Linked DNA regions of Lonchura striata. The protein of the gene in region 2 purifies or fractionates together with the protein of the main gene of each other region. This does not show direct contact. Links are inferred from orthologs where the notes say so. Each region holds a gene or a part of one and is shown on either strand. Other genes may lie near its edges.

Region 1 (8,147 bases), on a different chromosome or scaffold from region 2:
AGAGGTGCCTACTTTTGTGGAACTTTTGTGTGGAACAAAGTCTCAAACACCCAGTCCTTTATAAACTTCCACCCCAGAACCCAGCCAGTGGCTGTGGCTCTTCCTCCCTCCCCTTGCACAAGTCCCTGAGCCCTCACCCCACAGCCAAGTGACAAGATAATCCCGACACATCCCACAGCTATTATTCAACCGACCCTGAAGGCTGCTGCTAGGAACAGCAATGTCACTGTACATGGCCACGCTGAGCCCTGTTTATGAAACCCTATTTAACAATCTGTCAGGTGCAAAACGGCCATTTCTGTCAAGTTCACAGTGACACAATTTAATTTGTCCAATGTGTTCTACAATATTGTTTATGAAATGCAGGGGGTTTGTCCTCCCTTCTTACTGTGGAGTCCCACACAGAATTTTTTCTGATGTTTTCATAAAAACAACTCTCAGAACACTGCATTAGTTTCTGCAGATATATCTGGGAAGCTCACATATAGAGTGGGATGAAAGAAATCATCTACTTATATATTTATATATATATATATATATATATATATATATATATATGATGTATATATATTTATATATATATTTATGTTCTCAAGTATCTCTAAACATAATATTCATAATAAGAAAGCCTGCAAGTCACATTTCCAGAGACTCCATATGCACTAGGCTAAATGACAGACTTGTTTGAAACTCAACTGTGAAGAGATTCTCACAGAACAGATCACAAAATCATCTGCAACATCAAAATCTACCTGCTGGACTTCTGCAGTTACCAATTTTTCCCAACCCTAACTTTTGTGCTGACGGAAAATCAAATGTGGTATCATTTAAAATCTCTTTTGTTCTCAACTCTGCTATTTTTCATAGCTGAAGTAAGCAAAACACCTACTCGTATTTGCACATGGATTTCAGATGTTCTGAATATCAATTCACTGTGCAATTTATTAAGAAAATTGACCAAAACAAACATAATTTGCCAAGCTTTCCATACATTTAAGCTGTTGGGGTTTTGAAGGTTTTTTTCACTTACCAGTTATCTTAACTGGTCATAGCAATTTATAAAGGTAGCACTGCCCTCATCACACAGAATGGTAAAATAAAGCAAAATGAGCCCCAAGTTACACAGCATTACAGATAATAAACTGCAACTGGTTTTTCAGGGATCACATTTACCAGTAGTACCACTTCCTACTACAAAACGCTGACTACAGAGTGGAAACATAACTTGAAAAGAGAAAAGCAAAATGTGCAATACAGTTTGTGGTACAGATTTAGAAGAACAATATTCTTAAAAGACAATTTTTTAAAATGTTCATTAGAGGCTTAGAAAGCTGCCATCCATGCTAGAATGAATCATCTCCCTAATGTCTTGGAAGGAATCTACTAGCTGTGTCTCTTTTAATGTTCAGTCTGCATGAATCCAGCCATGAACCAAGAAGGGAACTGCGTGTGTGCCTTTGAGGTGATCTACCAATGGCTCCAAAACAGGTGGTAGATGACATTTGAGTTGTTTAGTGAGCTTCATCAGCAAATAGTAAATCCTACATCCTAGTTTTTCAACTATTTGAAACTAAAGACACCCATCCTGTAAGTCATACGGTGAGGTTTTAATATTAAAAGGTGTCATTAAGAGAAATAATCAAAATATCTCGTGTTTATTGGTATTCAAGCTGACAAACCCAATTGTGTTGATGAATCATCCTTCACAGGCTCAACTAGATCTGGGCTTTCACAAAAATATCTGAATAAACATTAAGACTTGAAATACTTGGATGTATCTTAAAGTTTTGGCAAACCAGTTTTTATGCAATGTCAAAATACGAACACATTGCTATTTATTTAAGTAAAGTTCCAAGCAGAGCAGGGATTTAGATTCAAATTATTATTTATACATGCAGAGAAGTCTGCAACAAGCTCAAAGTGGTTACAAAACAACATTCAAAATCTGTATTACTGCATTCAACAAAAAAAAAAAAACCACCCAAACCCACCAGGTATCATAAATAAAGAATCACTTTTATTTAAGAGAACTAATCATATACCAGATAACTGTGTCATATCTGCAATCACAAAATGTGCTAACTTTGAAACAAAAAAATGGCTTGTAACTTAATCAGTGCAAGAGCTCTAAAGAAATAAAACAAGGACAGAGATTAGCACACGGAAAGTTGGCAAAACAGCTGTTTGGGGCAGCAGGCGTATCTGACCAAGGGGCCCCAGCAGAGCCAATTTTAGGTGCCGCATGAAGCTCGGGCAGTGCTGACAGTGTGATGATGATCCCCCAGCTGAACTCACACACACGCTCTGCTATATCGGGACCAGGTGGAGATGCCAGATCGAACAGCGCTGCAGACCTTGGCGAGGCACTGAAACCTGATCACATGCACACATGGCTATTTACCAACAGCGGATTGTGCAACAGCAAAAAGAACTGAGCTCCGAAGGAGCTGGAAGCGAAGAGAAATCCCGTCTAGAATTTAGAATTTGGTATGAACGCATTTACATTCCAGAAAGCAGACATAAGTTCACCATCTGCTTCTGGCGAATCCTCCAGCGCAGGCGATGGCCCCGCTGCGGCGGCGGCCCCGAGCGCCGGGCCCGGCCCGGGCACGGGGATTGCCGGCTCATCGTGCCAACATGGCTGCCCGTGCCGTGCCGTGCCGTGCCGTGCCGGGCCGGGCCGGGCCCCCGAGCGCCGCTCCCGCACCGCCCCGCGGGGCGCGCCCCTCCCGAGCGGCGCCGCCGCCTCCGCCCATCCGAGCCAAGGGAGCGCGGCGGGCGGCAGCCAGCCCACGAGGAGCCGCCCGGGGAAAAAGGAAGGAGGGAGACGAAGGGAAGGAAGAAAGGGAAGGGAAGGGAGGGAAGCGTCCCGGGGGACGAGGAGATGGCACCGGGCAGATGGCAAGGCCGAGCGGGGCCCCACGCCCTTGCGCCGCTGCCCTGACAGCTCCAGAGCACCCAGCGCTAAGCATCCATCCATCCCTCCGTCTGTCTACCCATCCATCCGTCCGTCCATCCCCCCCGCTCCCGGCCTCAGCCCTCCGCGGGGCCCCACAGATGCGCACGGCGGCATCGCCGCCTCCCCCTCCGCATTACGGCACCAGCCCCGCTCCGGCCCCGCCAGCGCAGAGGCCCCTCAGCGCAGCCCCTCACCTGGCGCGGGCGGTGCGGCGTCAGCAGCCGGCGGGGCAGCGCAGCGACAAAAACCCGGCCATCCCCATCGCCGCCTCCACCGAGGCCTGGAGACCCCCCCGCGGCCGGGAACGGAGCGGGAAGGGGAGGAGGAGAGCGAGGCCGCGCCGGGAGGAACGGGCGCCGCGCTCGCCCAGCGCCGCTCCCGCACTGCCGAGCGCGGGGGGAGCGCCCGCCCCGCGGGGGAGCGCGCCCGCTCCGCCAATCGCCGCGCGCCGCCCCGCCCCCTCGGCGCGGCCCGCCAATGGCGCTCCGCGGAGCCCGCGTGTGCCCGCCCCCGCCCTGTCAATCACAGCCGGCCGCGCCGCCGGCGCCGCCTGGCGGTGCCCGGCCGCAGCGGCACCGCCCTCCGAACAGAGCCCTCCGCCGCGCAGCTCCAGCCAATCGGAACCCGCTATGCAAATCACGGCTGCGCCCTCGGAGCCTATCGGGAGAGGGGCCGCAGCACCGCCCGCCGCGCTGTGTCCGTGCGCGCCCCGAGCCGTGAGGGGAGGCGGGTCCAGGAGGGAGTGTCAGGGTGAAGGGATAAAACCGGCCGGGACACCGCCAGGGTGCGGGTAAAGGGATAAAATCGGCCGGGACACCGCGGGGTATAAGGATTAGCGGGATAAAATGGGCTGGGACACCGCCAGTGTGCGGGCAAACGGGATGAAATGCCCGGACACCGCCGGTGCGCTCTCGCTGTGGGAACGCGGGGTCTGAGGTAGCGAATTCCCCAGCTCCCCACTCCGTGTATTCAGTGGGATTGGATCCTAAACTAGGCCTAAGGGCGATAGCTCAGAGGGAAGGGATTAGTAATCTTTCCTCCCTCCCTTCAAAACGGTTCTTGAGCAGCCCGAGTCATTTTTTTAGACCTCATAATGTATTTTGGGCAAATTATTAAATTAACCTGCCTGGCATGCTGCTGTTAACAGCTGCCGGCAGGGAGAACTGAGATATGTCAGTTGGGCCATTACAAGGATAAATCGTGATACAATAGAATCAATTGTCCTGAATTGTGTTTCTACAGCATCAGCGCTTGCCCCAGGAACTTCTCCAGTCTCTAGCGTAGAGCTGCAGGACAAGGAGAGAGCGGCGATCCACAGTAAATTCCAAGGAAAGCTCACTTTGTAACGCAGTATGAGTTAGCCTTTGCTGGGGTAAACCATTCCCAGCTCAGAGACACTGACATTCTGCACACACACGGACGTGGTCAAACGTAAATCCCTCCACTGGCAGTTTCTGTGATGTCTCATATGAACTCTGTATTGCAGTTTCTGTGGTCTCTCATATAAACTCTGTATTATAGTTGGATTGAAAAAGGTAAATGACATAGTAGTGAGGGGAAGGGAAATCACCAAAAACTGCAGGTAGCATTTAATTAACTGAACTAAGAATCGTCACACAACCGATATGCTTTTGTGGGAAATTGATTTTTAATCCAGCTTCAGCATTGCTTTTCAGTCACTCAAATGTCCACTACCCACTGAAAGACAGGGGTTTGATTCACAATAGAATGGCACTTCAGCAGCTTGTATTAAAATACATTTCATTATTCTGCTCACAGTTGCAGAATTTGGGAGAACACTTGTCTGAGCTCACACCTTTGAAATACTTGATGCTCGTTTCCCAGATCAAATTGTTTTGGCCACTTATATCATGCCTTTGTGTCTGATAAGATATTGCACAAGCCTTTGTGCAATATCTGCACTGACATGTTTTCAAATGATAGATGTATGCCATAATTAGACAAAGCATTTCAGTAATGCACTTTGCTATTTATATTCCTCAGGTCAGAGTCTGACACAATGGCACAATAAATATAAATTCAGATTCTAAAGGGCATTGTGTTGATTAAAACATCCCACACCAAATGTGAATATGTCTACTTCCTCCTGGCAAAACCCAAAACTATAAAATTTTCACTTTATAATCTATCAATAGAAGCAAGATATGATACGCACTTGCAGAAAAAACCCATAAGGTGAAGCCAGTTTAATCATCTTCTAGTAAAAACACATATTCACTACAGAACAGCTGTCCTTCATAAAAAAAAAGTATAAACTCTGGGATATTCCTAGAGATTTCTTACAAAAATCCTCAATAACGAAGGGACAGTTGAATATGTAAGTTTTTCTTTTATATAGAATGAAATTGCCTCTTCACTAAAGAAGAAAACACACAGCACAACCTGTAACACATCAGAATCTCTGCTGGGTTTGGGTGCTTGACTGGGAGCCTGCAGGTAAAAGCAGAGCAGGTTTTGATCTGGAACTTACTGAAGAGAAAGAAGAGGGGGATTGGAATTTGTGGAAGAAGTGAAGGTTATAATTATCAAACCAACAAACAAGCTTCTCTGTTGCAGCAGTGGATGCAGACAGAAGCTTTGGAATCTTCTCCCATCCTTATAGAGAAATACACATTCATGATGTAAGAGGAAGTACCACTGAAAAACCCACAAACAAACAAAAGATACAACTCACAACTGTACCTTCACATTTTATAATTTAGAGTTATTTGCACACCTAAAAGGTCAATGCTGGATTCTATACAAACTAACCAGAATTTCCCTTGGAGCTGTCACCAGCTGTCACGGAGCTATGAATAGGTGCTCAGTGGCACCTGCTTGGGAACATTCTTGAATGTAAAGGATTACTGGTATCTGTGTGCACAGAAATTTTCCACATAATTTACTAAGTTATCTCCAGATCCTAAATCACTATCAGCAAACCTGAACAAAGACACCCAATCATTTCTAATTTTTATATTTTCACCAACACTCTTACAAGAAAGACGAAGGAAACATCCTGTGCGAGTGTGTATCATTTATTGTAGTTCAAGAGAGTCAGGAATTGAACAGAAGACATGGCGAAAAACAAATAAAAGAAAAACAACCTTTTTTTTCCAACTTAATTTTAAAACACTGTGGTTTCAAATCCTTTTTAAAAAGGAAATTCAAGTATCATATGCAGGGGGCAGTAATATAAAAATGTTTGTGAATATTTTTTTATTTTTTTTAAAAACGTAATTCTACATTTCCTGCACCCTTTCTGCTTTGGTAAGGCCAAGCCATGGATACAAATTGGTACGCAACATAAAAAATGACCCCTGCCTCAAACTGCAGCCTCCAGGGATAAAGGTATCTGCTCTCTGTGGACAAGCTCCAATGGCTCAGAACTGTCAGTTAGCATTGATCTGCAGCATTGAAAGAATGTATTTTATTTTTTTAAAGTCACTGAAATCCTGGTATTCCCAAGCATCTCATTCATGGCAGCTGTTTTAACACATTTCTATCTCAAGGCTTTTCACAAGTACCAGAGCATCTTGATCAACATAAAGGAAAGGGACATCTCAAGGAAAGTAAATTAAAATCCACGCGTGAAGTCTTCGCTCTTTTGAAATTATCCTTGTGTCTAACACCAATTAAAAACCAAATAGGCAAATATGTGTAATATAAAAATACGATCCCAAGATGAACACTTTGTTGCAGGCACAGTTATCGCACAAAATATGTTCTTTTTAGGGCAGGGGAATGATTTTGATTTTCACAGGGTTTATGTTTTTTTGCATTACAGAAGGAAAAGACAGCAGTGCAGGTTTGATGGGTGGAACAGAAAGAAAGGAAGGGAAAGAAAAAAGTTACTTTAGCAGCAAAATGTCCAAGGTTCTAACCACAATCAAATTAACGGATATCTGGCGGTAAAAAACAAGGTTGAAGGGATGCTGCCCTGATCCATTTGTCTTTGCTAAAATAATTCAGCTGTAAAAACTCCAAAATGTGACATATTGGAGGACAGTTTTGTAACATAAGTAACTTCCTAGCTTGTCCTCCATGTTATTGACCATCGTTATCACTTAAATATATGTACAAGAATGAAGCTGCTTTCCTCCTCGTCCACATGCTCCTGTGGTCACTACTGCGAGCCAGTGCCGTGGGCATGCCAATCCATCAACAGCTCCCAAGTGTGTCTGCTGCACTCCTGCCAGAGCAGCCCACGCCCTGCTCTGCCCATTGGTGGTGGTGTGCACTGCAAGGGAATTTTAATGGTCATTCTGCTTGTCTCTCATCCAGGCTTGGATTTGCTCTTTAAGTTCTGGCACTAGGAAGGAAAAAAAAAAAGAGAGAGAAAAGAATTATTAAATTACTTGGTAATAGTACTATAAGAAAGTCCCTCATGACTAATAGCCATTTTCCCATTTATATACCATGATGTATTTCAGCCCAGGAGTTAAGAAAGCAAGGCTGTGAGGGTTTTTTTGCCCCGGAAAAAGGGAAAGGAGAGGGAATGAACTTTTCTGTGCAAGCTGAAATGAAAGAAGTGTCACCTCTGCTGAGGCCTCAGCACTGTGCTATGGAATTACAGAGCTGCCCAGGAGCTGCTGCCCCCAGCCCACGTGCCAGCTGTCCCACGGTACCTGGTTCCAGCATATTCTCCGTCAGCGTCTGCCGGTTGAACGGATCCGTGGAGGAGTTCAGCAGGTGCCTCAGGATGATTGACCTGTCCATGATGGTGCCCGAGGGCAGCCGCACGGGGTCGGTCATCAGAGTGTCCATCAGTGGATCTGAGGGCACAAGGCTCTCCTCATTACAGTGAGCAAACAGCTACAAATGTTATCTCCCATCAACCCACACTGCAAAACCAGTGCTCAGGGTCCCCAGTACACTGCTGAAGGTAGAGAAAATGGTTAAATGGACATAAATCTTCACAGCACTTTCCCCTTTCTGACCTGGGACTAAGCTTTCCCTATTGTCACCCTATTTTCAGTTGTAGGGGGGTGTTACTGTTTTCAGGTACATGTTAGCAAAGCATGGCTAGGACAATCATGGACAGTACAATCCCAGGGAAAACTAAAAAAACTCTTAGCTCTGTATTTACTTAAATACGTCATTGAAATAGAGCAAGATGCAAGGCAAGATGTTTTTATGAAAAGCAATATATAGTTTCTAGTAGCATATGGAATCATTGCAACAAATG
Region 2 (7,907 bases):
TTCAGGTTATGGGCACTCATTAATTCTGTGGACGAATGTTAATCACACTTGTCCATCACCAGTCTCATGAACACTACTGAGGATTATTATCAAAAACTGACAGCAGGGACAGTGGGGTAAGAATGGAAACAAGGAATTGCAGTTCTGTTCTGCCTTGGATTGCTCTTCTGGTTCGGGTGACGTGCCAGTGATTGTGGGAGCTCTTCTAGCTTAGTACAAAATTTACTTTGAGGGGACATAAAATGCAAAACTAACTCTAGGTTCTGTAACTCATCGGGTTCTTTAAGGCTGATTTATGGTTTTCCTCTGATCTTGATATTCACTGTAACTGCGGGGGTTTGTTCAATAGCTGCACTCTAAATAATACACTTAATACTGAGTTTTTCAGTTGCCCATAATATGCTTATATTTTTCTTCAGGTATTGCAAAAGAAACCTAATAAACAGTGTCTCCTTAGAGTGACACTGTTTGAAGTATTTTTGCCAACTGCAGTTAATGAAAGCCCATGTATTTGTACCTTTCCAATCAGGAATTCATATACCAAAATATCAGTTAGTTTTATTATGCAAACCTTGCCTTTTTAATATGAAAGACATGAATTGAATTAACTAGCAAGTACCCTGCAAACTTTGTAGATGTGCTTTTGTTAAGACTGTATAAATTGTGAATATTTGTACACTTTGAAAGAGCAAAATAAAGAAACTAGAGGAGTCTTAATAGCTGCTGTTACAGTAGAATCCCAAGTTCTTGTTAAGCAGTTTTTTTAGCTGACTGATACATTAATGCAACTGTTTTCCACTCTTCAGTTCTAAGCTGAAATGTGATTTTGTTTCATAGGTGATAGAAAGGAGTATGAATTTGGACAAAATAGACATTTCAACTTGTCAGGCTCTTCAAGGCAAATAGGTAGAACCTATGTCCATGAACATATAGATGAAATCCTTTTGTGGCCTTTGTTTATCCTCATATTTGTTCCCTCCCTTCTCCCCAATGCGTGCAAAAAAATCATTGCTCAGAATGTTGGTCACAATCTTTTGTCTCTTCCTTGGCTGTGGTTTTGGTCTCTTGTGCATAGGCAGGTGTTAGAACTAGAATAATAATTTCTAGAAATACACCATGAAAGCAGAATGCTCAATTACACTGTGTTCTTCTGGTGCATTTACACATTATATCACACTAAAAATTACAACTGGCTGCTATGGTTTTTTAATATATATTTCATTTTGGTAAGCCCCAGCCTTTTTACTAATATATGACCTGGTTAAATCTTGTTAATCTGTTTGAATTGTATTTGTTAATAATGCAAATATTTCTAATCATCTTTAAGAGTAAAACACTTCCTTTTTGTTAATGGTTTTGGGGAAGGATTCTAACCAAACCTGTTTGAAGAAAAATATGAACATGTGACATTGTATTATAACACTATCCACTTTCTTGACAGTTAAAGTCCTTTTTTTATTTTTTGTAGCATGTAATGTATATGTTCATAGTACGTGAAGTAAATAAAAGTATAGCCAAAACTTTGACTCAGTCATTCTCAATCAGTTTTTGGAGTACTTGCATTTAATAATGAAAAATAGAGGGGGTATGGTCATTTTTAATTGGCCATGTTAGTATGAAAATAATTAAACGGCACTACAGAAGTAAGCCAAACCAAGGTAACTAAGTTAACTTATCAAACAATAAAATATGGCTTTTTTTTGAAAGATGGTGACTTTCTGTAATTAAATGAGTCTAGGTGTTGGGGGAAATGTATATTCTCATTTCAAAAAAAAATTGTGAGGAATGTTAAGATGAGATTTTGTAGCTCTTGATCTCAATTCTACCTGCACAAGTGTATCAGGGAATAACCTGGGGATTGTTTGGATGGGATGTTTGGGAAGATAAAAAGCTGTTTATATATTCTTAGAAATATCAGTGAAAACAAAATTACACAAATTAATACCATCAAGAATCTCCTGCAGGAGTCTACAAATGGTTCAGAAGAGCTGTTTTTATGTGTTGTGGTGTGAGAGCACTAATTCAGTGAAAAGCCGAGGTGTGCAGGTGCTGTCAAGGGCTGAAGGGCAGAAAATCAGGACCAGAATCCCATGGGGGGCACGTTTGTAACATCAATTGCATTAAAGCCACTTTTGCCACACTATTCCTTAAAAACTGCAAGGAGACAATGGCCCTTAGGCCCCAAGGATAAGAATTTCTGATGTGTCTCCACACAGTAAAGATTATTCTATCAGCTGCAGATGGAAAAAAACCTCTTCATTGGTGGAAGCCCCCAGCTTTGCTCCAGTGCTCAACCACTGCAGGGCTGCAATGCAAAGGTGCCTTTTAATGCATTAGCTGAGAGAATTTCAGAGCACCCTGCAGCCAAAAGGAAGAGGCTGTGCCTGCCCTTCCCCAGGGCCCTGCCAGCCATCCCCTCCTGCTTCACCTTGCCCTGGTGTTTGCAGTGCTCCCCTGAGCTGATGGAGCACAGGGCTCATGCAGAAAACTGCTTTTCCTTTTCCATTCCCTCTCCTTTGAACTGGGGTCTGGCTGCAGCAGTAGTTGAATGAATTAATGTGAAAGTTCAGGGGGCAAAGGGCAAGCAAGGATTGCATCAACAAATTGTGCTTTATTTCCTTGGATTAGGCTGTTTATTCCTCATGCTTTGCCAAATCCCTGACCAATTTCCAAATATCTGAATGCCATCTGTAACGAGTGCATTCAAAAGAATTCAAAGTATTTAGACAATATGCTATTATTTAGCAAGGGTACTAAGAATGCATCTCACTTCTGGCAATTAAATCTTCTTGAAGTGTCCTGATTTATTGATATTATTGAACTCCCTGCAACCTGAGTGCCTGCTGAACACAAGGAACACAGAAAAATTCCTAAATTGATCCAAATCTAATTTATTGTGCACAGCTCCCCAAGTTTCTGCTGAAAAATAGACTTCTATGGTCAATAGAGTACAGAAGTGATTTGTGAGTATTAAAAATTTACACAGAGATAGTGACTGTGCAGTACTGTGACCTTTTGAGTACCTAACTTTATATCATGTGTTTACCAGCAATTCAGAAGTAAAGGTTTACAATGATTCCCAATTTCAGAAAAATCAGCATTTTCTAATCTTACTTCGAATAAATCTAAAGAAGCAAATATTTTTCTGGACTTGACACCTAATTTTCACCTTAGTCCATGATGTCTTTGTTTTTAAGAAATCCTGATTAGATGATCCTGATCTGTGAAAAAGAGGGCCTAAGTATCCATTGAAAACAGAGTATTTATTTTCTGAGTAAGTGATATAAAAATAATTCTGTCACATGTTTAGATTTATTTGTAAGAAAAACATAAGGTTATGCTGATCTTGCAGACCCTAAAACTCTTGTTCATCAACTGAAAAAAAATAAGTCAGGCCAGCAATAAACTACTGAAAAAATGTGCTTTGAATGGTGTTCAAGGTGTGTGCCCTCAGTCACCCATCAGGAGCCCATTTCAGTGCACACAATACAATAAATGGGGATACCTGACTTTGTGTCCAGCAGGTGCCAGGGGCAGCTCTGTCTCTGCTGTCAAAACTTGCAGAGGTCTCTGTGCACTTCTCCCAGCAGTGAAATGATGGGAGAGCATCTGTAGTCTGCACTTCCAAGGAGACACTGGGGAAAGAGACAAGACTTCATTCATAGCTACCCTGAGCAAATCATAGAATCATGGAATGGTTTGGGTTGGAAGGGACATTAAAGCTCATTTCATTCAAATTCTTCTGCCATGCCATGAGACCAGGTTGCTCCAAGCCCCATCCAGCCTGGACTTGAACACTTGCAGGCATGGGGATCTTTGAAGATCAAGTTCATGCCAGCCATGCATAATCCCTTTTCTTTTTCTAAAACCATTCTAATTCCAGAAATTGAGGCATTATCTCAGTTATTTAAGTGAATGCTCCTTTTGTTTTTCAGAAGTACTGTGTGAGGAACTTGTGAAATTTGCTTTCTAGATTTCCTAGCCTCTTGAAACTGAAATTACCTCGTGCTATGCACTGGAGGTGATACTTAGAGCAAATACCCTGGAGAGGCTGTAGAAACCTGTATCTGTCCGTCTGCCTTTCGGTCACAGATCCACCCTTCCATGTGCAGCACACGCGGTGATTTGTACCCAGATTCCGAGAGAGGGTAACTCAAACAGCGCTGTCAGCGTCTGAGGGCAGCACAAACGCGGAGAGATGGAGCCGCCCTGAGGGAAACGCCACCGGCGGCCGGGCCCGCTGCCCATCGCCATGTCCCGGTCACGGCCCCGCCAGGGCCGGCGGGGGAACGGCGGATCCATCCCCGCCATTGCCGGGCCGCCTCATCCTTCACCCCGCGTTATTCCTCACCCGCCTCACCCCTCACACCGCTTCACCCACCCCGCCTCACACCGCCTCATCCACTCTGCCTCGCCCCTCACACCGCCTCACCCCTCCTCATCCCGCCTCACCCCTCACACCGCCTCATCACTCATCCCGTCTCATCCCGCTTTATCCCTCACACCGCCTCACCCCATTTATCCCTCACCCTCCTCACACCGCCTCACCCCCTTCATCCCTCACGCCGCCTCATTCCCTTTATCCCTCACACCCCTCACGCCGCCTCACCCCGCCCCCCGCCCGTTGCCAGGGAGCCGCCGTTGCCATGGGAGGCGGCGGGGCGCATGCGCGCGCCCGCGGGAGTGCCCGGATGCAGCGGGAGGAGGCGCTGCCGCCATATTTGCCCGGAGAGCAGCGAGCTGGTAGCTGCAGAGCCCCCCGGACCCATCGGCTGCCATCCGCCCCGCGCAGTCCCCGCCGCCGCCCCGCCCGTAGGACATGGACGATCGGGAGGACCTCGTCTATCAGGCCAAGTTGGCTGAGCAGGCTGAGCGCTACGATGGTGAGCGCGCTGGCTCCGGAGGCCGTGCACGGCCGAGGGGAGAGGGAGGGAGGGAGGGAGCGGCCACAAAATGGCGGCTGGGCGGGGGAGGGGGGCAGGGGCGGAGGAGGGGGCGCACACAAAATGGCGACGGGGAGCGCCCTGAGGGGCCGCTGGAAGCGGGGATGGGGGGCCCGGGCGAGGGGGTGTCTCGGGCCGGGGCGGGGCCCGGGGCGGGGGGCGGTGGCGGCAGGAGCCGGGAATAAAATGGCGGCCGCGAAGGGCGAGTCCTGGAGGGGGGGCAGGGGAGCCGCCCCCGCCTCGGGGGCTCCACAAAGAGACCCCGCTGTCCCTCACGGCGGTCCGGCCGGCCCCGGCCCCGCGCTGCCCCGGCCGGGCGGCGCCGGGCGAGGGCGGCTCGCCGCAGACAACGCCCATGCCGAGCGCTCCGGAGGGGGAGCCCGGCGCTCGGCCCCTCTCCGGCCGTGCTCCTGGGGGTCCCCGGGGACGGGGCTGCGCTTCTTTTTTGCCTCTACCCCCGCTGGAGATCCTGCTGCCCCTGGCAAACCCAGAGAGAGCGAGTTCTCACCCTGCAGGGAGCGAGTACATGATTCACTGCCTAAAGAAAACGCGTTCATTATGTGGTAGAAATTATTACAGGTAGTTTTACTTACCCAGCGTTTTCTTTTTATCCTTTTCCCACCCCTCTAAGTTTGTGTGCTATCCCTGATCATTTAATATCCGTGATGATTTAATATCTGGGGGAAAAGTGGTAGAGGGGAGGAACTGGCAACCCTGGGTGGTGTCTCTTGCCCCAAAAATGTCTGTCTTGCAACCTCTCTTTTTAAACATGGTTCCCCTGCATATAATAGAAAGGACCTTTAATTTTCTCGACTCTTCTGAGACTGTTACTTTGCCCTGAGAGCTGTGATTACTCATTTGAAGTGAAATAAATATATGTATATAGAATGTGTGAATGCAGTAACACCTCATTTAGAGAGGTAAGAAGACACTCCAAATGCTTTCTGTTCAAAAATTTTTGTAGACAACACGACCAAGTTCTCAACAAATGACACATTTTTACTGAGTTGTGCTTAAAAAACATCTGATGGCAAAAAACATCCGATGGCACCATTGCAGAACATCTGAAAAATACACGTTTTGGAGAGAAAAAGAGAAACTAAAACAAAAAGAAGGCCTAAATAAAACTCCATTCATTTAGAGCTCTGATGGGAAAATAGTTTAGAATTCATAGTACCACTAAAGGAAAGCAGTCAGGCAGTCTCTGCAATAACTGAAAGACTTGGAGAATGAAAATGCCTCCCAGAAACCAAGTATTGGGGTACCATAATTACCTTGTGCAGAGGGACACATGCATATTGCACAGAATGTGTGCAACTTCTGCTGAGGAGGGAAGGAAAGGTTCTCCACCTGGTATGAATGAGTCAGTGCCACTGAAAGTGTTGGCTTTGGTTTGAGTGGAAACCAAACATCCTGGAGGAATCATCATCCTTGGGAGCTCTTGAGGCATGACTGTCTTTCTGGGGTTTTCTGAAGTCAGCAGTAAATCATTTTGTTAGAAGGTAATAGGACTCTACCCTGTGGCACAGATCTGCAATGCAAACTTCCTGTCAGCTGATAAAAATTGATTGGGAAGGATTATTGCCTTGGTGCAGCGTTTCCCTGGGTTCTCCCAGTACCATGAATGTTGGCTAAACAAGCTGCCCAGAGCAAAATGTGGAAGACTTGTTGTGCTGTATTGTTTCTGAATGGGCATGATGCTTGTTACAACTTGAAGTTGTCTTGTTTAAATCAGTGCTGTGGGTTTTGGACTTCCAGAGGTTTTAAAAATCAGGTTGGGTCAACATAATTCTGCCAGCTGCTCTAAATGCATCTTCACTTCCCTCGTGTCCATGGCCTGGAAGAAAATGTACCGTAGATACTGTTTTATCATTTAATTTTCTGTTCCTGTTCAGCTGAAACAATTAAAAATGATTGGCATAATTTGTTCTTGTTAATGTGAAATAATGCAGTTCTGCCAAGATCATAGCTGAGACTGCTGAATAATTCTGTGAACAAAGTGATTTGAGAAGCAATATGAGGAAAGGGTAAGGTAATCCTAATTTTGCTCCTCAGTATGATCTTTGAGGTGCACAATTACAAGGCCAGAGTTACTGATGGGCACATATAAAATGGGGTGATGGTAAGTACTGGCTGCAGATACATTGGAATACAAGTCCCTTGGGTAATTAAAATATGAGTTTGACAAGTTTGACAATTTTTTTTGTGTTTAACATTAGGGTAAGTGTAAATTTCTGTCCCATCTTTCTCCTGGAGATTGGAAGAGTGGTGGGTTGCTATTTATGTATGGCTCATGGCATTTATAGCAGCACTTATGGTGGGCATCCAACTGTGGCTTCTTTGGTGTTACTTGCCTGACCCACTTAGGGAATTTCTGAAGTCTTGGGAGCTGCATTTGTGAACGGTTGGGAATCTAGTCCAGTGTCTGTACTGTCCTCAGGATGGTGGCCCAGATTAAGAGGACAACTTTCTAGGTACTTTTGCAGTGTAAGTAGCACTTAAACCCTGATCTCCAGAGATATATTAAGAGATTTGGGTGTCTGACTATGGTCACAGATCTGCTTAGGCATGTTATGGCAAATTACAAAATGCCAGGAAGCTTCCTGGTGGTGCAGGAAGCTTGTTGAGAAATCTTAACTCACTGCTATTCCTCACTGGTAGAGTAATTTATAACTAAATGGACTCCTTCTTGGAAAACAATTGGAGTAAATGATATTGTGGAGGTCTTGATATCAAGAGGATGTAGAGAACTGTGGAGTGCTGCTGAATACTGAAACCAATTCCTCTTTGTGGAAACTGGGAACATATTTGTTTCAGGTGAGAAACGTGCTAAGACTCAAGGCAGTCTGTGAGCAGGTACTTCCAACAGCTGCTTTATACTGCAAGTCTTCAAGTACATTACCTGAGTGAGGTGGAATAGGTGGGGTTCCCCCCTCAGAACCAGAGAATAGGTCAAGGTACAGG
Region 3 (7,591 bases), on a different chromosome or scaffold from region 2:
AAGACCATAGAAAATCCCTGCCCACCTCAGCCTGAATTTTCCAATATTTTGGGGACAAACCCCAGCTTGGTGGCCCGGGCTGGGTGAGGAGCTGGGGGGGTTGGTTTGGGGGTGATCCCGCCTTTCCCTCCGGCCATCCCGAGGAATTTCCCGGGCTCCAGTCGCATCCCTGCTGCTGCTGAGGAGGATGCTGGGCTGGGGGAGCTGGAAATACCTGGGGCTAGATGAGCAGAACGCCCCGGATCAGCTCTTCCCTGCCGGATGCACAGCTGGATTTCCTTGATCGTTCCAACACTTGGGGATTCAGGCTGGATTTTCTCCTTTTCCAGCCTCACTGGGTTTAAATCTCAAGCAGCTCCTTTTTATTTTCATCCTTGCCGGCTTCCCAGCAAAGGCTGGGCATGGTAAATACAGAGGGGGATTTTTGGGGGCTAGTTAAATGTAGCAGCATCCTCCCTCGGCTAAAATCGGATGGAAACAGCTCCCCTGGGAGCATCCCCTGAATTCCCAGGGGGCCAAGGGTGGTTTGGCTTTGCCCAAATTCCAGAATGCTCAAGGAGCCATCCTGCTCTCCACCTGGCTCCTGAGCTGGGGTGTCCCCAGGCCACTCCCAGGGATGCTCCCCCTTCCCCAGCACCATCCAGGGCTGGCTCCTGCACGCTGGGCATCGGTTTTCCCAAATTTCAGCTGGGATGGATGGAGCTGGAGCTGGGGCAAAACCCCTGAGGAGGGGTCCCAATGTGTGCTCAGGCTTTTCATGATTGATTGCTATTATTAATTTTATTATTAACTAATCAGCTCAGGCGTATTAATTCTACGCTCAGACTTTTCATGATTGATTATTATTATTAATTTTATTATTAACTAATCAGCTCAGGCGTATTAATTCTATCACATTCAAACCAAATTGAAGCTGAGGTGAGATCTCTATGAATTGGGTATTTGAGATCTCTATGAATTGGGTATTTATGGCCAAAAATCAGGAGGAATTCTCCGAAAAAGCCCAGGAAAAGCTGGAGAGGGTCCCTCCAGCCTGTGCTGGGGGGAACAGGGACTCGCCCAGCCCAGCCTGGGTAGGGAGGGAGGGAAAGCTTCCTTGGAAATCCCCGTGAAATGCAGGAATGGGAGTGAGGTCCAGCTCCTCTCTGGAGTTTATAGCAACGCTCCGGCTGTTGTGGCTCCGCGCCGAGGATTCTTTATTTAATTTCTTCCCCTTATGGGCTGAGAAACCTTCCCAGCCCCAGCACAGCCCGCTCACAGTAGCTGGGATTTGTTTTCCTCTCTTGTCCAGGGAGGAATTTCTAAATCCCAGCTGCAGCCAGAGCTGGAATATGCTGAGTTGGAAGGGGCCCATCGGGATCGTTGTGATGCGGTGCCAGGTGTCACCGAGCAGCGGTGACACCCCTGTCCCCAAATGCACCCCACAAGGCTTGTGGCCAGCGCCGAAATCCCTGTGCTGCTGCTCCAGGGTAAATTTTCCTAGCAGGACATCCCAAAAATCCCTAGAAACGGGTGCTGGGCACTGACAGCAGCAATCCTGGGCTGGCACAACTGATGCATCAGCCTTTGGGAAGGGAATGGGATGCAGAGATGTGTTTAGTTGTTATTTTGTTGCTTTTGGAATAATTTTTGTGCCTGAACAAAATGCGAGGGACGCTGTGAGATAAGAGAGCTCCCACGTCTCCGTGGCCGTCCCTGCCAGTGACAATGCCAGCATTGAAATCCTGGGATGGGAAACACTCGCCTGGTGATATGCAGGATCACAGTGAGCTGCTGCTGCTTCCTGTCCTTTCCATCTAAAACACATCCAGCATGAGAGAAATCCGTGTATTTTATGGGAATGATATTTTCAGTCATAACCACACCACCTTTATATTTTTGGGGGTTTTTTTAAAATTTTTTTTAATCTTTTAAATTATTATTATTTAGGCCTAGAGATGCAAAAAAAATATTATTATTATTTAGGGGCTGGAGATAGGCCTAGAGATGCAAAAAATCACCCAAAAAAACAAAACAAAACAAAAAAAAACAAAAACAAAAAAAACCCCACCCCAAAATAAAAAAAAAAACCACAAAACCAAAAAACAAACCCACCCCAAAATAATTCACATTTTTTTTTCCCATTTCCCATCTATGGTTCCACTCTTGGGATCTTTGAGGGAGATGAATTCCAGGATTGCGAGAGAAATGTCACTTTTGGGACTCTTGGGGTTTTTTCCTCTCGCAGGAGAGGAGAGGCAGAGCGGACCCTGGCTGAGCTCCATCTTTCCGAGCTCTCCCCACGCTGCAGCCTGGGATGGCTTTTCCTGGACCTTCTCCCCCGGCCCCGGGAGCATCTCCCGTTCCAAGGAGCCGGGATTTTTTCCTCCCCCCGGCTCTGGAGCGGCGTCGCGCCCGCGCCATCCACGTCGGTGTTTATACATCGCCTCGCTGGCATCCCAGAGCTCTTCCTGCTGCTTTATTTAGCCTCTGCGGCAAGGCAGGCGCTGGGTTCCTGCATCCCTGTGCTCCACAGGCCTCGGCATGGCGCTGGGATGTGCTCAGCAGGACCCACTGGTCCTCCTCAGCACCGCAGCAACGGGGCCGGGTCCCGCTTGGGCCGCCCCACAACCCGAAAAATGATTTGTGGCTTCGGAGAAATCGGCCAAAGGGAGGCTTTGCTTGGCTGTCCCCCGTGTTCGCTGCAGGGTGGGTGTTTCCAGAGGGAGTTTTTTGGGGGAAAAAATGGCATTTCTGGCTGGAATGACAGGCTCTGCTTGGACAGGATGCTCTCCGTGCCCTTGGCAGTGGCACCAGTGGCTTTGCAAGGACTCGAGCAGGAGCTGTGGGGTAGAAAGCCTCTCCCAATTCCAGCTGGCATGGACAGGGGGATGAGAGGGAGCCCAAACCCGAGGGATACCCAGCCCCAGCTCTGCAGAAAGCCAGGTTGTTTTTTGCCATGGGGAGAGCGGCGTGTTGGATTCCCAGCGCCGGTGCCGTGCGCTCCCATAATGTAATTACCCAGCAGGATCTGCTGAGCTGCAAACAGATTTCAGCAAGGAGTGTCAGGGTGTTCACAGCAGAGCTGCTCTTTATTTAGGGCTGGGAACAAGCGGCTCCTCTCTCCCAGAGGCTCGGAGAGACTGCGGGGGCCGAGGCGGCCTCGCAGGTCAGCCCGAGAAACGCCTTTAGACAGTTAAAAGTGAGGAATAAATAACTCCTCCAAAAACAATCTCGCCAGATGGCACTTCTGAAGGAGGAGATGCTTTGCTGCTAATTTATGGTGCTGCTGCTGTTGCTATTCCGGGCCTGGGGTCACCTATGGAGAGGGATCCGTGCGTGCATCAGCCCCAAAGGGTGGCCAGGCCTCACACGAGCGAGCCCCACTCACCTTCATCCAGCTGCTTGTGGGGGATTTAATGGGAATGGGGTTTAATTCTGCTCCTGCCTCAACCTGAATCTTAAGAACTGGGATTCTCCGATGTCCAAGGGCTGGGGATACTGGGATGGGTGTGGGGTTCCCCTACACAAGAGAGTTGGGACCCCCCCAGAGGACATTCGAGTCCCTTCCCTGGGAGATCCTTGAATCCCAGGGTTGTTTGGATTAGAAGAGACCTTAAAAAACATCTTGTTCCAACCCCTGCCATGGCAGGGACACCTTCCACTGCCCCTGGGTGATCCCAGCCCTGTCCAACCTGGCCTTGGACACTTCCAGGGATCCAGGGGCAGCCACAGCTGCTCTGGGCACCCTGTGCCAGGGCCTCCCCACCCTCCCAGGGAAGGATTTCTTCCCAATATCCCATCTATCCCTGCCCTGTGACAGTGGGAAACCATTCCTTGTATCTAAACTCCTTCTCCAGTTCTCTTGGAGCCCCACTGGAAGGGGCTGTGAGGTCAATCCAACCCCCAGCTCTCCCAGCCCTCCAGAGCAGAGATTCCCAACCCCCGGAGCATCCCCAGCCGGTCTCCTCTGCAGGATGCTCCGCTCCGCTCCCGGGCACCTTCGGGCGGCTCCATCCCGCAGGGACGGAGCCCGTGTGCCCTCCCAGGGGACGCGATGCTCAGGCTCTTCCCCGAGCCTCCTCCGGGGCCAGCACTCGTCTCTCCCGGCCGGGGCCACCCCTCTCCCGACCCCTTCCCCGCTGTCCCGGGCACGGCGCCGGGGCGGGAGGCGGCGCCGGTGCCGCTCGGGGCGGTGCGGGGCGGCCCGGGAAGGGGCGGGGGCGGCGGGATGGGCTGGGCCGGGCTGGGCTGGGCACGGCTCGGCTCGGCACGGCGGGGTTCGGCACGGCTCGGCGCGGCTCGGCACGGCTCGGCACGCAGCGCGCTCCCGCAGCCGCAGGTAGGTGCGTGCCCGGCGCCCCGCACCGCGCTCCCGGCTCGGCTCAGCCCGCCTGCGCTCAGCCCGGTCCCGCTCCGTTCCGCTCGCCCCGGCTCGGCCCGGCCCGGCTCGGCTCGCCCCCGCGGGGCCGTGCCGCGGGTGGGCCCGGCGCGGCCGCTTGTTGCGCTCGGGGGGCGAGTTGGAGCCGGAGCGCTGCGAGCGGCCCCGGCTGCAGGAATGCGAGTCATTTCCTCCGCCCGCCCGCCCGCGGGAGCTGCGGCTCCGCCGGAACCCCCCACGGCCCCCACGGCCCCCACGGCCCCCACGGCCCCCACGGCCGCGACACGGCCACGGCCACCCCGGAGCCGCTCCGGCGCTGGGCGCGCTCCAGGGGCGCGCTCGCCCACGGGACCCCTCGCCCCTGGGTCTGAGCCGCCCACGGATCTCCTTGCCCGCTGGGTCACATCGCCCACGGGTCTCGCTCACCCTTAGGACCCTTTTCCGTGGGTGGCGCTCACCCACAGGTCCCCTCGCCCACGGGACGCGTTGCTTTCAGGTCGCACTCACCCGCAGCTCCTCTCAGCTGTGGGTCACCGTCACCCACGGGTGCCCTCATTCCTGGGTCACGGTTGCCCCGTTGGTCCCCTTGTCTCTGGGTTACACTCGCCCACGGGTCACTTCACCCGTGACACCCTTGACACTCACCCCCAGGTCCCCTCGCCCATGGGTCCCCTCATTCCTGGTTCACGGGTGCCCATGGGTCCCTTTGTCCCTGGGTCACAGGTGCCCGTGGGTCCCCTCATTCCTGGTTCACGGGTGCCCATGGGTCCCTTTGTCCCTGGGTCACAGGTGCCCGTGGGTCCCTTTGTCCCTGGGTCACACTTGCCCATGGGTCCCCTCATTCCTGGTTCATGGGTGCCCATGGGTCCCTTTGTCCCTGGGTCACACTTGCCCATGGGTCCCCTCATTCCTGGTTCACGGGTGCCCATGGGTCCTTTTGTCCCTGGGTCACAGGTGCCCATGGGTCCCTTTGTCCCTGGGTCACACTTGCCCATGGGTCCCCTCATTCCTGGTTCACGGGTGCCCATGGGTCCCTTTGTCCCTGGGTCACACTTGCCCATGGGTCCCCTCATTCCTGGTTCACGGGTGCCCATGGGTCCCTTTGTCCCTGGGTCACACTTGCCCATGGGTCCCCTCATTCCTGGTTCACGGGTGCCCATGGGTCCCTTTGTCCCTGGGTCACACTTGCCCATGGGTCCCCTCATTCCTGGTTCACGGGTGCCCATGGGTCCCTTTGTCCCTGGGTCACACTTGCCCATGGGTCCCCTCATTCCTGGTTCACGGGTGCCCGTGGGTCCCTTTGTCCCTGGGTCACACTTGTCCGTGGGTCCTCTCTCGCCCTGGGTCTCACCCACAGGCCCCCTTGTCCCTGGGCCACACTCACCCCACTGGGTCCCCTCACCCGTGGGTCACACACTCCATTGGGTCCCCTCACCCGTGGGTCCTCTGTGCCTGTGCCAGCTCTTTTCTGTGCCTCGTGGTGACCCACAGGTCCCCTCAGCCGTGGTTCCCATCTCTTGGTTCCCACAGCTGTGATCCTCTCATCCATGGATCCTCCTGGGTCACAGCCACCTCTGGGACCCTGTTATCACCGGGCTCCCCTCACCCTTGGGTGCCCCCCACCCCGTGGACGTGCTCTAGGTGCCAGCTGCTCGCTGGTGGTGTCACCCTTGGCCCTCTCCACCAGGAATGCGTATCCCTGCCACGTTCTGGCAGCAGCCAGGATAAATCCATGCAGTCCTAAGCCGGGCTTTATCTGACCCGGTGCCCTGGGGGCAGTGGGGAGATGGGGCTGAGCTTTCCCAGCACCATCCTCGGTGTTCCTGTGTCCTTTGACTGGCCCGTGGGAGTGAGGCACATCCCAACCCTGCCCTGCCCCTGGCCCCCTGCCACCTTCCTGCCATCTCCCATTCCCGAATCCTCCTCTCCCTGCTCCTCTCCCAGTGCCTTTCTGGCCATCAGGATGTTTCTCCCTCTCAGCCAAACTCTGCTTTTTCCAGAGGTGCTTCCGCGTGGCACCGATGGAGCTTTGCTGCTCTGCCTAATTCTGGGCTGCTTTGTGTTGGTGTTTTTCCACAGGGCTCGCTCTCCCTCTCCGAATCTTGGATAGAGCTGGGATTAATTCGAGCTCTCTTGCCTGAAAGAGATGTTCCGTTTAAAATTCCCAATCCCGAAGGCATATTGGAGTTTGGTTCTAGGTACTGGATTTTTTACTATCGGTTTTTAAATGGGTTTCTTTTCTTTTAAACTGGGTTTAGTCAGGCTCTTTAAACCCCGAGTCTGTAAGCAATTATTCCATTACATGAAAGTCAGGACGCTGAGAAAGATTAATTCAGACCAGATGTAAAAATAAATGTGAATTTGAAATTAAGATGATGTCAGTTCCCTCCTGCTAAAAAAAAAACCCGGCAGCCTTTGGACTCCAGATGGAGTATACAAACCATGGCGCTGGTTAAAATATCTGCCTGCTCCTTAATTGAGTTTTATGCTGTTTTTTTTCCCTCCCCCTTGACTGAAAAGTGGGCTTAGGATATTTTTCCCAAAAAGCTTTCCCCGATTGCGGCCGGGGCAGGGAAGTTGATGGAGGCTGTGGCGTGGCTGAGGAGCTTTCCCAGCTGGAAAACTGGAGAGCGGCGCTGCTGAGGGAAGACAAATCTCCCTCTGCCTGCCCCAGGATTAAAAAAATCAGGAACTTGGTTTGGCTTTGTTTTGCTGGATTTGGAGCTGGAGGCGAGGACGGGTCCCTGCCACAGAGGGCAGCAGGAGCTCCGGATAGTCCAGGCATGGGTTTGAATTTTTGGCATAAAACGGAGCTGGTTTTTGGGTTCTTGTGTGTCTGCAGAGCACTTTGCATCCCATTTTTCCCCCCTCTGTGTGCAGCAAGCACTGCACATTCCCCAGAGCGGGAATGGGTTTGGAGCCTGTGAGCGGGATATCGGGAATGGGGCTCCCCAGAAGTGCCTCCTACTGGGAAGGAAGGGTTTGCCCAGGGTCAGAGCATCTTGGGGATGTGTTGTTGTAGAAAATAACGTAAACATTTGTCATTGCATATTATTAATATTAATATTTACGTGGCATTATTAATTATTTAATATTATATTGTTAATTAAATTGAAAATACGGCTTTAATTTCTAAACAGGGAGCTCCGTGGTCTGGAGACTCAGGGCTGTGCTTTCTGTGCTGCAGGGATTTGGGATGGTGACTCTGGCCCTTGGGGCTGCTTTGTGGTC
Region 4 (7,863 bases), on a different chromosome or scaffold from region 2:
ATAATAACATTAATGAGCTTCTATTTTTGAAGCTTTTGCTTTTTCACCCCAATAAAATGTAGTATCGTTAAGACTTCGTTTATGTTGCCATGCTCATTAGTGAAGCCCTGAAACTTGCTTTTAAAAAAAAAATCAGAGGCTTTAGTAACCAAACCATCTGTGTTGTCTTCTAGCTAATATCATCAAATAAAGGTTGTCACCACTGAATTGGGATATTGCATATTTTAAGCAAATGGTGACTTGGAGGACTGCCTCTCAAGTAAGCCGTAGTTCATCTAGCTAAGGCCCTTTAAGGATAGAGGACAGGGTGAAGAAGGAGAGGACGTGCAGTTCAAAGCTGTTAAACAAGTTACATCAATTGTCTGCTCTAGGGAAATAGTCTCATCGTTTATGATCTTCAGTGTTCAGAACATTTCAGTGGGTTTAAGTAATAAATGGGTGTCTTTCCTTTTGTGCAGCTGTTTACTGCAAAATCCCTTCAGAAATGGAGCTCGTTGTTGGGTACACGGACTGCCTAGACAAATTCAGGACAAAGATAATAAGGTTAGAATAGTAAATTTGGGGTGGGAATTTCTGTAGTCGTGCTGAAAAATACATCTTGAATCTTACGTAAAAACCTATAAATAAGAATTCTTCATAGTTTGACAATATTTTAGTTTTGCTTAGCATCTACATAGCCTTCAAATCAGTTGTTCTGCAAGGTAAGGTTTCCTTTTATTTGCAGTGTTAATTTCTGGTTTATTAATATGTAAGATGGTACATTTTAATGAGCACTCTTTGAGATGCCAAAGGAAGAGCAATGCACTAGTTTTCGTGCTGAACTGTATCTACTCACTGCATGGTCTCTTGGTAGAAACTGTGAAAGGCTGCACTGCAGAAATTCATGTCACCCAACATATACAGTGTAACAGCCTTCCGGAGCTTGTGAGACCATGGCACAGGCCTTGGCACTGTCTCAAGTAGCACAGGAAGTAAAGGGATCTACAAGCTGCTGGAATATCTCTGTCATTGACATAACCTGTATAACACGGATAAAAAAGTGAGGTATGAACACTTGGCTGACTTGTAAAGTCAAGCAAGGTCCTACTTAGAGGCTGATAAACCCTGCAGACTCCATGGTGCTTTTGGCTCTGTGACGCCCCAATGTCTGCATCATCGCCTGAGCTGTACAATCTCTTGCTTATTAGCTCAAGCTCTGTGGGAAAATAACACTGTATTTTCTACCTTGTGCAGCCCTGCCAGAGCCTCAACAGCTTTGTGTGGAGGAGCATGGCTTGGCCACGAGCACGCAGTGTCAGGAAATCCCTCTTCAGCCTCTGCAGTCTGGGCCACCTGTATACAGCATCTTATGGAAGTGGTGTGTGTAGGAGTGAGGTGATGCATGCTCCACACTTACATTAATTTTAGCTGAGCGGAGCTGGTGTGCTATTAAGCACTCAGGATTGTTCAAGGTCTTTTAGGTACATTGGTGCAAGTTTTCCTATGTTATTTACAGACATTTTTTTAAGAAATCATAATTTAGTAACCAGTACAATGCCCTTTCCTTTCAATCATGGCTGCATGATTCAGTTAAGAGAAGAAGAAAGTTGTTTTCTGATAGTGAAATGTATGTTTTGGAAAATAAAGAGACTTAACAGCCCACACTTAACAAAATAAATATGGTCTTTCCTTAAAGAAAGAAGCCTGCCTTGGTAGAAAATATTATTGTGTCAAATATGTGTAGAACTCTCCTTGGAAAGAATATGACGTAAGCTGTTGCTTGAATTATCCCTAGGAGCACACACATTGAAAGGGTTTATTTTTGTCAAGTAGAACAATATTACATTTGCTACTTTTGACAGCAACAATTAGCAGTCATATCTGATATATGTAATCTTTCTCTGATCTAGGACTCTGGTGACTTACATTGTTAGCACAAAGGAATAATAAAACTATTTTGGTTGCTTAGGCTTACATAGATATTTTATCTGTGACAGTTGATTTAAAATTCACTTTGAGGATGAGATTTACATGTTGGAGCTTTTTTTACTTAGTGAGGAACTTAGACTTGAAAGTTGCTGTGATCCATGCAGTCTACTTAAGCACTTAATCAAATTACATGATAACTCAAATTACTTGAATTACTTGATATAAAACATTAAACGCTTCATTTGTAAGAAAGGTGATTTGATTTGTTACAAAGTGAAATAAAGCAAGCAGAAATAAGTGAGAAATGTGATTTTTTTAACATTACCTCTTTTGAAGCCTATTTTATAGAATTCTTAGTTACTTTCTCCTACTTAGGGAGCACTGTACTCTTAGATGAAGTGAAAGTCCTTAAAATCTGGAGAAAGGCTGCTGTAGTTCTCCAGAAAAATGTTTGGTAACCTCAGGTAATGCAAATTGATGTCAGCCAGCAGCAGCAGCTGATACATATTTTATTTAGACATTTTAAACCTTTGTAATCATGGATGTTAAATAGTGAGATGAGAGGGTTGTTTTCTGATGTTCAGGCTTCCCACTGAAGAAAAATGCAGATTCTTCATTTGTATTTGGTCTTGTGGCTGATCTGGCTTGGAACAGGAAAAAAGGGTAAGAAAAAACCCCTCAAAATTACAGCTTTCATATTATTCCTTGCTGGCTCCATAGCATAGATGTCTCAAATCATACCATGGTGAGGAGCTAACTACATAACTTCTATACATTTGTAACTTTAATAAATGTCAGATATCTCCCATGGAACTTATTTCAGCCAGTCACTGTGTTTTCCCTCCTGAGTCTACCACCTGATTTTCATACACCGTAGAAATTGATGGCTCATAGCTTCTTGACTTGTTGACCTCCTAAATTTCTCCTCCCTATTCTGAGGTTTTCTGTAACAAAAGATGTGTCCCCAAGTCAACATCTCAGGAGAAGTGAATTTGTGTGTAGTACAAAAGCTTTAAGTTATCTTTTCTCAGTAGTACTTTAAAAATTACATATGTTCTGCCATGGGCTATAAAAGCAAAACGTGTGCAGTGACTGAGTTTTACTTACAGAGAAGATATGGAAAGAAAAAATACTACAAAAAGTGCAAGCAGGAAAAGATAATAGAATCATGAAGGCTGGGAAACACCTTTAAGATCATTGAGTGCAATGTTAAACTAACATTGCCATATTCACCACTAAACCATGTCCCCAAGTACCACATCCACGTATTTTGAACACTTCCAGGGATGGTGATTCCCTTACATCCCTGGGCAGCTTGTGCCATGTTTGCATTGAAGAAATTTATCCTTCTATCCAATCTAAACCTCCTTAACTTGAGGCCATTTCCTCTTGTCCTGTTGCTTGTTACCTGGGAGAAGAGATTGAGCTCCACCTCACCACAGCCTCCTTTCAGGTAGGAGTAGAGAGCTTAAATACAATGTCAAAATGAAATCTAGTCAAAAAAATCCCACATAAACCAAAGCCAAAGCACAACAACTTATTGCTGGAGATTAGTATTACAGGAAACGACACTTTACCCTGATACTTAAATTTTTCTGCTTAGCACTTGTCCGCCCCTGCATTGGAAGAAAGGATTTTACTGTGTTCGTCCAGCAAACATCTCCCTCCTGCCCCCCGTGCTTCTGTCAGGGCGGCTGAGCCTTTGCTGCAGCACAGCGTGATCCCAACCTGCCCCACGTTTGTGGTCACCGCAGTGGGCAGAGCCCAGCGCAGCTCTCACCCAGGCCCACGGTCGAGCGGTACTTAGACCGGGCTTTAGCTCTGAGCCTGGGATAGCGTCTGGGGTGGACGAGTCGCAAAAAACCTGCTGCAGTGAGCGGGGCACAGGGACACGAATGAGCCAGAGCAATGGGCGCTAGTGTGAGTAGTGTGAGCTAAACCAGAGTTGAGGCCAGCGGGACTGGGGAGGGAAGCATGAAAGCCGAGCCGCGTGGCTCCAGCTCAGCCGGGGCACCTCCGCCTCGGTCGCTCTGTACGAAAAGCGCCCGAAACAAAGCGTGGGTCTCATGTTTTCCGCAGGCTCCCAACTTCGTCCCCAGACGGGACAGCGCTGCAGAGTGTGGAGCCGCTTCCCCGGGATCGCGGCGCTGCCTATGGCCGGCCGGGGAAGCCCCATCGGTGCGGAGGCGAGGGAGGCGGCCCGGGCTCCCGCGGCCCCGCCGGAGGGAGGGAGGGCGGCGGCGGCACGCTGGGCAGTCCCGGCCGGGCGGGGCGGCAGGTGGCGGGGGCCGGGCGGCGGGACCGGCCCTGAAAGGTGCGATTGTCCCCAGCTATTCCTGGTATGCGCCGGGGCGGGAGCCCCGGGGGCGGCCTCCCCCGGCCGGGAGCGCGAGGGGCGCCGCGTCCCGGCGGGAGGGAGCCGCCACCGCCGCCGCGGGGCGCGGCCCCTCCCGGGCGTGCGGTGCGGCTGCCCCGGGGGTCCCGGCGCTGCCGCACGGCCCGCGGCTCTTCGGATTCCTGCGAGCTCCCGGGAGGGGGAGTTCCGCGGGGAGGAGGCGGAGGGGGAGGAGACGGCGCGGGCAGCGTTAAAAGGAGGCAGCTGAATGACAGCGGCCGCTGCCGCGCCCCCGCCCCGCCAAGCGCCGGCCGCCCCCCGCTCGCTCGCTGCTGGCCATGGACGGGAGAGAGGACGCGGAGTGCGACTTGCAGGCGGCGTTCGCCGAAGCCCGGCGGTGGGTGGAGGTGAGGTGTCTCTCGGTGCTGCTGGGTGCCAGCCCCGCGTTCCCCCGGTCCCTGCCCGGGGCAGGGGTCCCGCCACAGCCTCCGCACGGCGGAGCGCGCTGCGCGCTCCCGCGGGGCTGCCCCGCCGTCCGGCAGCAGCTCCCGGGACGCGGCCCCAGACCTGGACTCTTCGTCGGCAGCTGCGGACTGCTATTTTTGGAAAGTATCGTGGCAACTTGCAGAAATCTGTGCAGTATCGCCACCGCCCCCTCCTCGCAATCCAAATTAAAGGCTGGCTTGGTTGCCCTCCTGTCGTTAAGGCTTGTAATTTCTTGCCATCTTGTAAATGACTTCTGTAGCGCTTGCTCCGAGACAGTCTGAATTAAAGGCACTCCTTCCTGTCTCGAAAGAGTTCAGGACAGAGAGTAACCTGAAATTAACACTCATTTTCTTCTCTCCTATTTTGAAACATGATTGTCTGACATAGCGCTTGACGTAAATATCCGTGTTTCTGTATGATTACCCGAGTCACACCGGTGCGCTACGTGCTAAAGCGTGGGGAGAGGGTTGTTCCTGGATGTACCTGAGTTTTGACCAGGGCAGCATCGGCTGAGCGAGGAGGCTGATGACTTGGAAGCTGAGAAATGTTTGCAATATTGAACAGCCTCCCTTAGAGTCGTGTGCTTTTAAAGAGGAGTTTTGGAGCGCTGATTTAGATGTATTTTAACATATTAAGCTTATTTCTTTGTGCCTAGTCACTTAAGATGAAATTTAGTGTTGTTACAACCACTATCACAATAACTTTGGAAGGAGGAAATATTAAAAAAAGGATGTTTGTTACTTTTTACCCCTCATCTTTACAAGCTTGTCAAGACCCGAGTTCAGGTTTCTTTGTTTCCTCTGTAAAACAATGACATCTAGTGCTTAAAATCTATTGAGAATGTTGAACTGAGAGCACCAAAGGCAGGGGTATCATAAATGACCTCCACAAGTGTCATTTTCGTGTCCTCTGTGAATGTAGGTAATTACAACAGTCCTGGCTTCCCCATGTGTCAGTGTTGTAAGTTTTGTAAGAGTTAGCTGTAAGTTTAAGCAATTAAACCATTCCTCACTCATGCATACCTTTCTTGCATTGGTTTCTTTAAATTGTCAAAGCTTATTTTAAAAAGCTTCATTACAGTGATTTAATGTTGTCTTTGAAAATCCTATTTTAAGGGGTTGGGGATTTGTTTCAATTATTTTTTGAGTTCATATGATACTGGCTGGTTGTACCATTCCTACAAAAGGTTTTGTGTCTTTGCCTGCCAGTAGCATGTGGGAGCTCTAGCAAAGAAATGTGAGTATGTAGTGTGCACTGTTTATGTAGGGGAAAAAACATATGCTCGGCTTCCCCCTTGCCCAGTCTAATTTGTGTGGCTCTCCTTTGATATGTGAAAGCTGTTCTCATTTTAAAGTAACTTTTAAACTTACCCCTTAAAGGAACAATTTACTGTAAAGCAAGTAACTTGCAAACCTTAAGGTATTGACAAACAGGATGCTCGGAATTCCATAATGTTAAAGGAAGATGTAAATATTTATTTCCTTATGAAATGAGGTTTGTGTTTCAGAAGAACTGTTGTGTTTCTCTGCTCTTTAGATCCAGATGGCTTTAAAATCCAAGTCTGACCATTTCCGTAGTTGTATGATATTTTTAGGGTAATGAGGCATGTCCCAAGGTTTTGTGAGTCTTGGTGGAAAAAGTGGTGTATACATGATAGTGAAACTTGGTGAGTCCTAATGATTAGTTTTGAAGATGAGGCAGTTTTTAAATATTTACAAACTTGAACTTCTGATGTTTTGGTAAGGTTTTGTGTACCAGCTTCTCCCTAACATTAGAGATGAAAGCATACAGACACTAGCTACTATGTATTTAAAGGAACAAGCCAAAATAGCTTTGTAAACTGTTACTCTTTCCCTTTGCTAATGAAAGCTTTGTTAACATATTTCTGTATTTCAATGGAGAATTTTATGGACTCTGAGACTTAAAAAAACCCCTCCAGCCTTGAAGCTGAGTGCTTTTTAGTAACTGGAATGAGCAGCTGTATTTGTCAGATCCCAAGAGGAGTAAAAAATATCCCAAAACCATGAAAAAATATTGCCCTATATTTTTTTGAATTTTTTTGTGAGAGAAAACTGTGTCCTGGTCAGGTTCCTTTTCTACCTGTTCCCATCTGAATTCTCAGTGCTGTAGGGCAGCCACTGGCTCATGGGAGCTCAAATATTCATTCTTAGTTCTTATGCTAACAAAGAAAACAAAGCAAACCAATAATTAAAAAAAAACAAAAAAAACAAAACAAAAAACACAACAACCCAAAACTAATTAATCCCCAAACCCCCCACTCCCAACAATCCAAACCTCCAAACAACTTAAACCAAAAAAGTGCAAGAGCTTGATTAAGAATAATAACAATAGAAAATTGCATCTGATATCTGATGTTACTTAAAGGAAGACTTTGTTCTTTAATTCAGGTTCATGTTGAGGCATATTTTATGATAATGCAGACAAAGAATGTCTGTAGTCTTCACAGTGCAAAGACCTCTTAAAGTGTGGTCCTCAGGCTCTCCTGTTTCATGTGTTGGGAGCTGGGAGGGAATGTTGCTTGTTAAAAGAGTTGGAGTCACTGGGGGAGCTGCCTGTTGAGGATGTCTACTTCTTTGGGGGAAGGAATGGTCATTTTATGTACAAAACTCAAGCTCTTCTCAGGTGTCCTTTCTGCAGAAGCCAGCACTGTTTAGTGGTGTTGGCTTCTTGCATCTGAGACTTTTGGCACTTTCTGAGCTCTGCCTGGAGCAAGTGGTGCTGATCAAGCTCACCCAGCCTTCATTTGGCACCTTAGCTGGACAGATGGTGCATGCTGAGAGTAAAACACTGGACTACCATGACTTGGCAATAGTTTGTCAAAGAAGGAGAGACCAAGGAGAGACTTCATCACAATCTACAACTTCCTTATATGGGGAAAGAGAGGGCAGGCACTGATTTCTCCTAGTGATTAGTGATGGGACTCCAGAGAATAGCGTGAAGTTGTGTCAGGAAGGTTTAGGCTGGATATCAGGAGAAGGTTTTTCACCCAAAGGTGGTTGGATACTGGAACAGGCTCCCCGGGGAAGTAGCACCAAGCTTGGCAGAGTTCAAGAAATGTTGGGACAATATTCTCAGGCACATGGTGTGACTCTTGAGGCTGTCCTATCCAGCGT

What was found. The genes of interacting proteins can lie anywhere in the genome.
Region 1: the proteins of YWHAE (region 2) and KIF1B purify together in Homo sapiens (affinity purification with mass spectrometry; 3 studies listed by BioGRID and IntAct, with this or other methods). This does not show direct contact. The link is inferred for Lonchura striata from reciprocal best matches to the Homo sapiens genes YWHAE and KIF1B.
Region 3: the proteins of YWHAE (region 2) and FRMD6 purify together in Homo sapiens (co-immunoprecipitation; 3 studies listed by BioGRID and IntAct, with this or other methods). This does not show direct contact. The link is inferred for Lonchura striata from reciprocal best matches to the Homo sapiens genes YWHAE and FRMD6.
Region 4: the proteins of YWHAE (region 2) and LMO7 purify together in Homo sapiens (affinity purification with mass spectrometry; 3 studies listed by BioGRID and IntAct, with this or other methods). This does not show direct contact. The link is inferred for Lonchura striata from reciprocal best matches to the Homo sapiens genes YWHAE and LMO7.

The regions. Positions count from the first base shown.
Region 1 is NC_134626.1:1,577,124-1,585,270, reverse strand, and holds the start of KIF1B (kinesin-like protein KIF1B), read right to left. Parts: upstream 3,377-8,147; 5' UTR 3,154-3,376; intron 1-3,153. Other genes in the region: UBE4B (ubiquitin conjugation factor E4 B), read right to left, coding at 7,213-7,271, 7,588-7,734. UniProt on the Homo sapiens protein: Has a plus-end-directed microtubule motor activity and functions as a motor for transport of vesicles and organelles along microtubules.
Region 2 is NC_134622.1:6,747,013-6,754,919, forward strand, and holds the start of YWHAE (14-3-3 protein epsilon), read left to right. Parts: upstream 1-4,687; 5' UTR 4,688-4,819; coding exon 4,820-4,883; intron 4,884-7,907. UniProt on the Homo sapiens protein: Adapter protein implicated in the regulation of a large spectrum of both general and specialized signaling pathways. Binds to a large number of partners, usually by recognition of a phosphoserine or phosphothreonine motif.
Region 3 is NC_134608.1:2,452,829-2,460,419, forward strand, and holds the start of FRMD6 (FERM domain-containing protein 6), read left to right. Parts: upstream 1-4,215; 5' UTR 4,216-4,321; intron 4,322-6,439; 5' UTR 6,440-6,558; intron 6,559-7,591.
Region 4 is NC_134604.1:49,535,622-49,543,484, reverse strand, and holds the start of LMO7 (LIM domain only protein 7), read left to right. Parts: upstream 1-4,487; 5' UTR 4,488-4,581; coding exon 4,582-4,650; intron 4,651-7,863.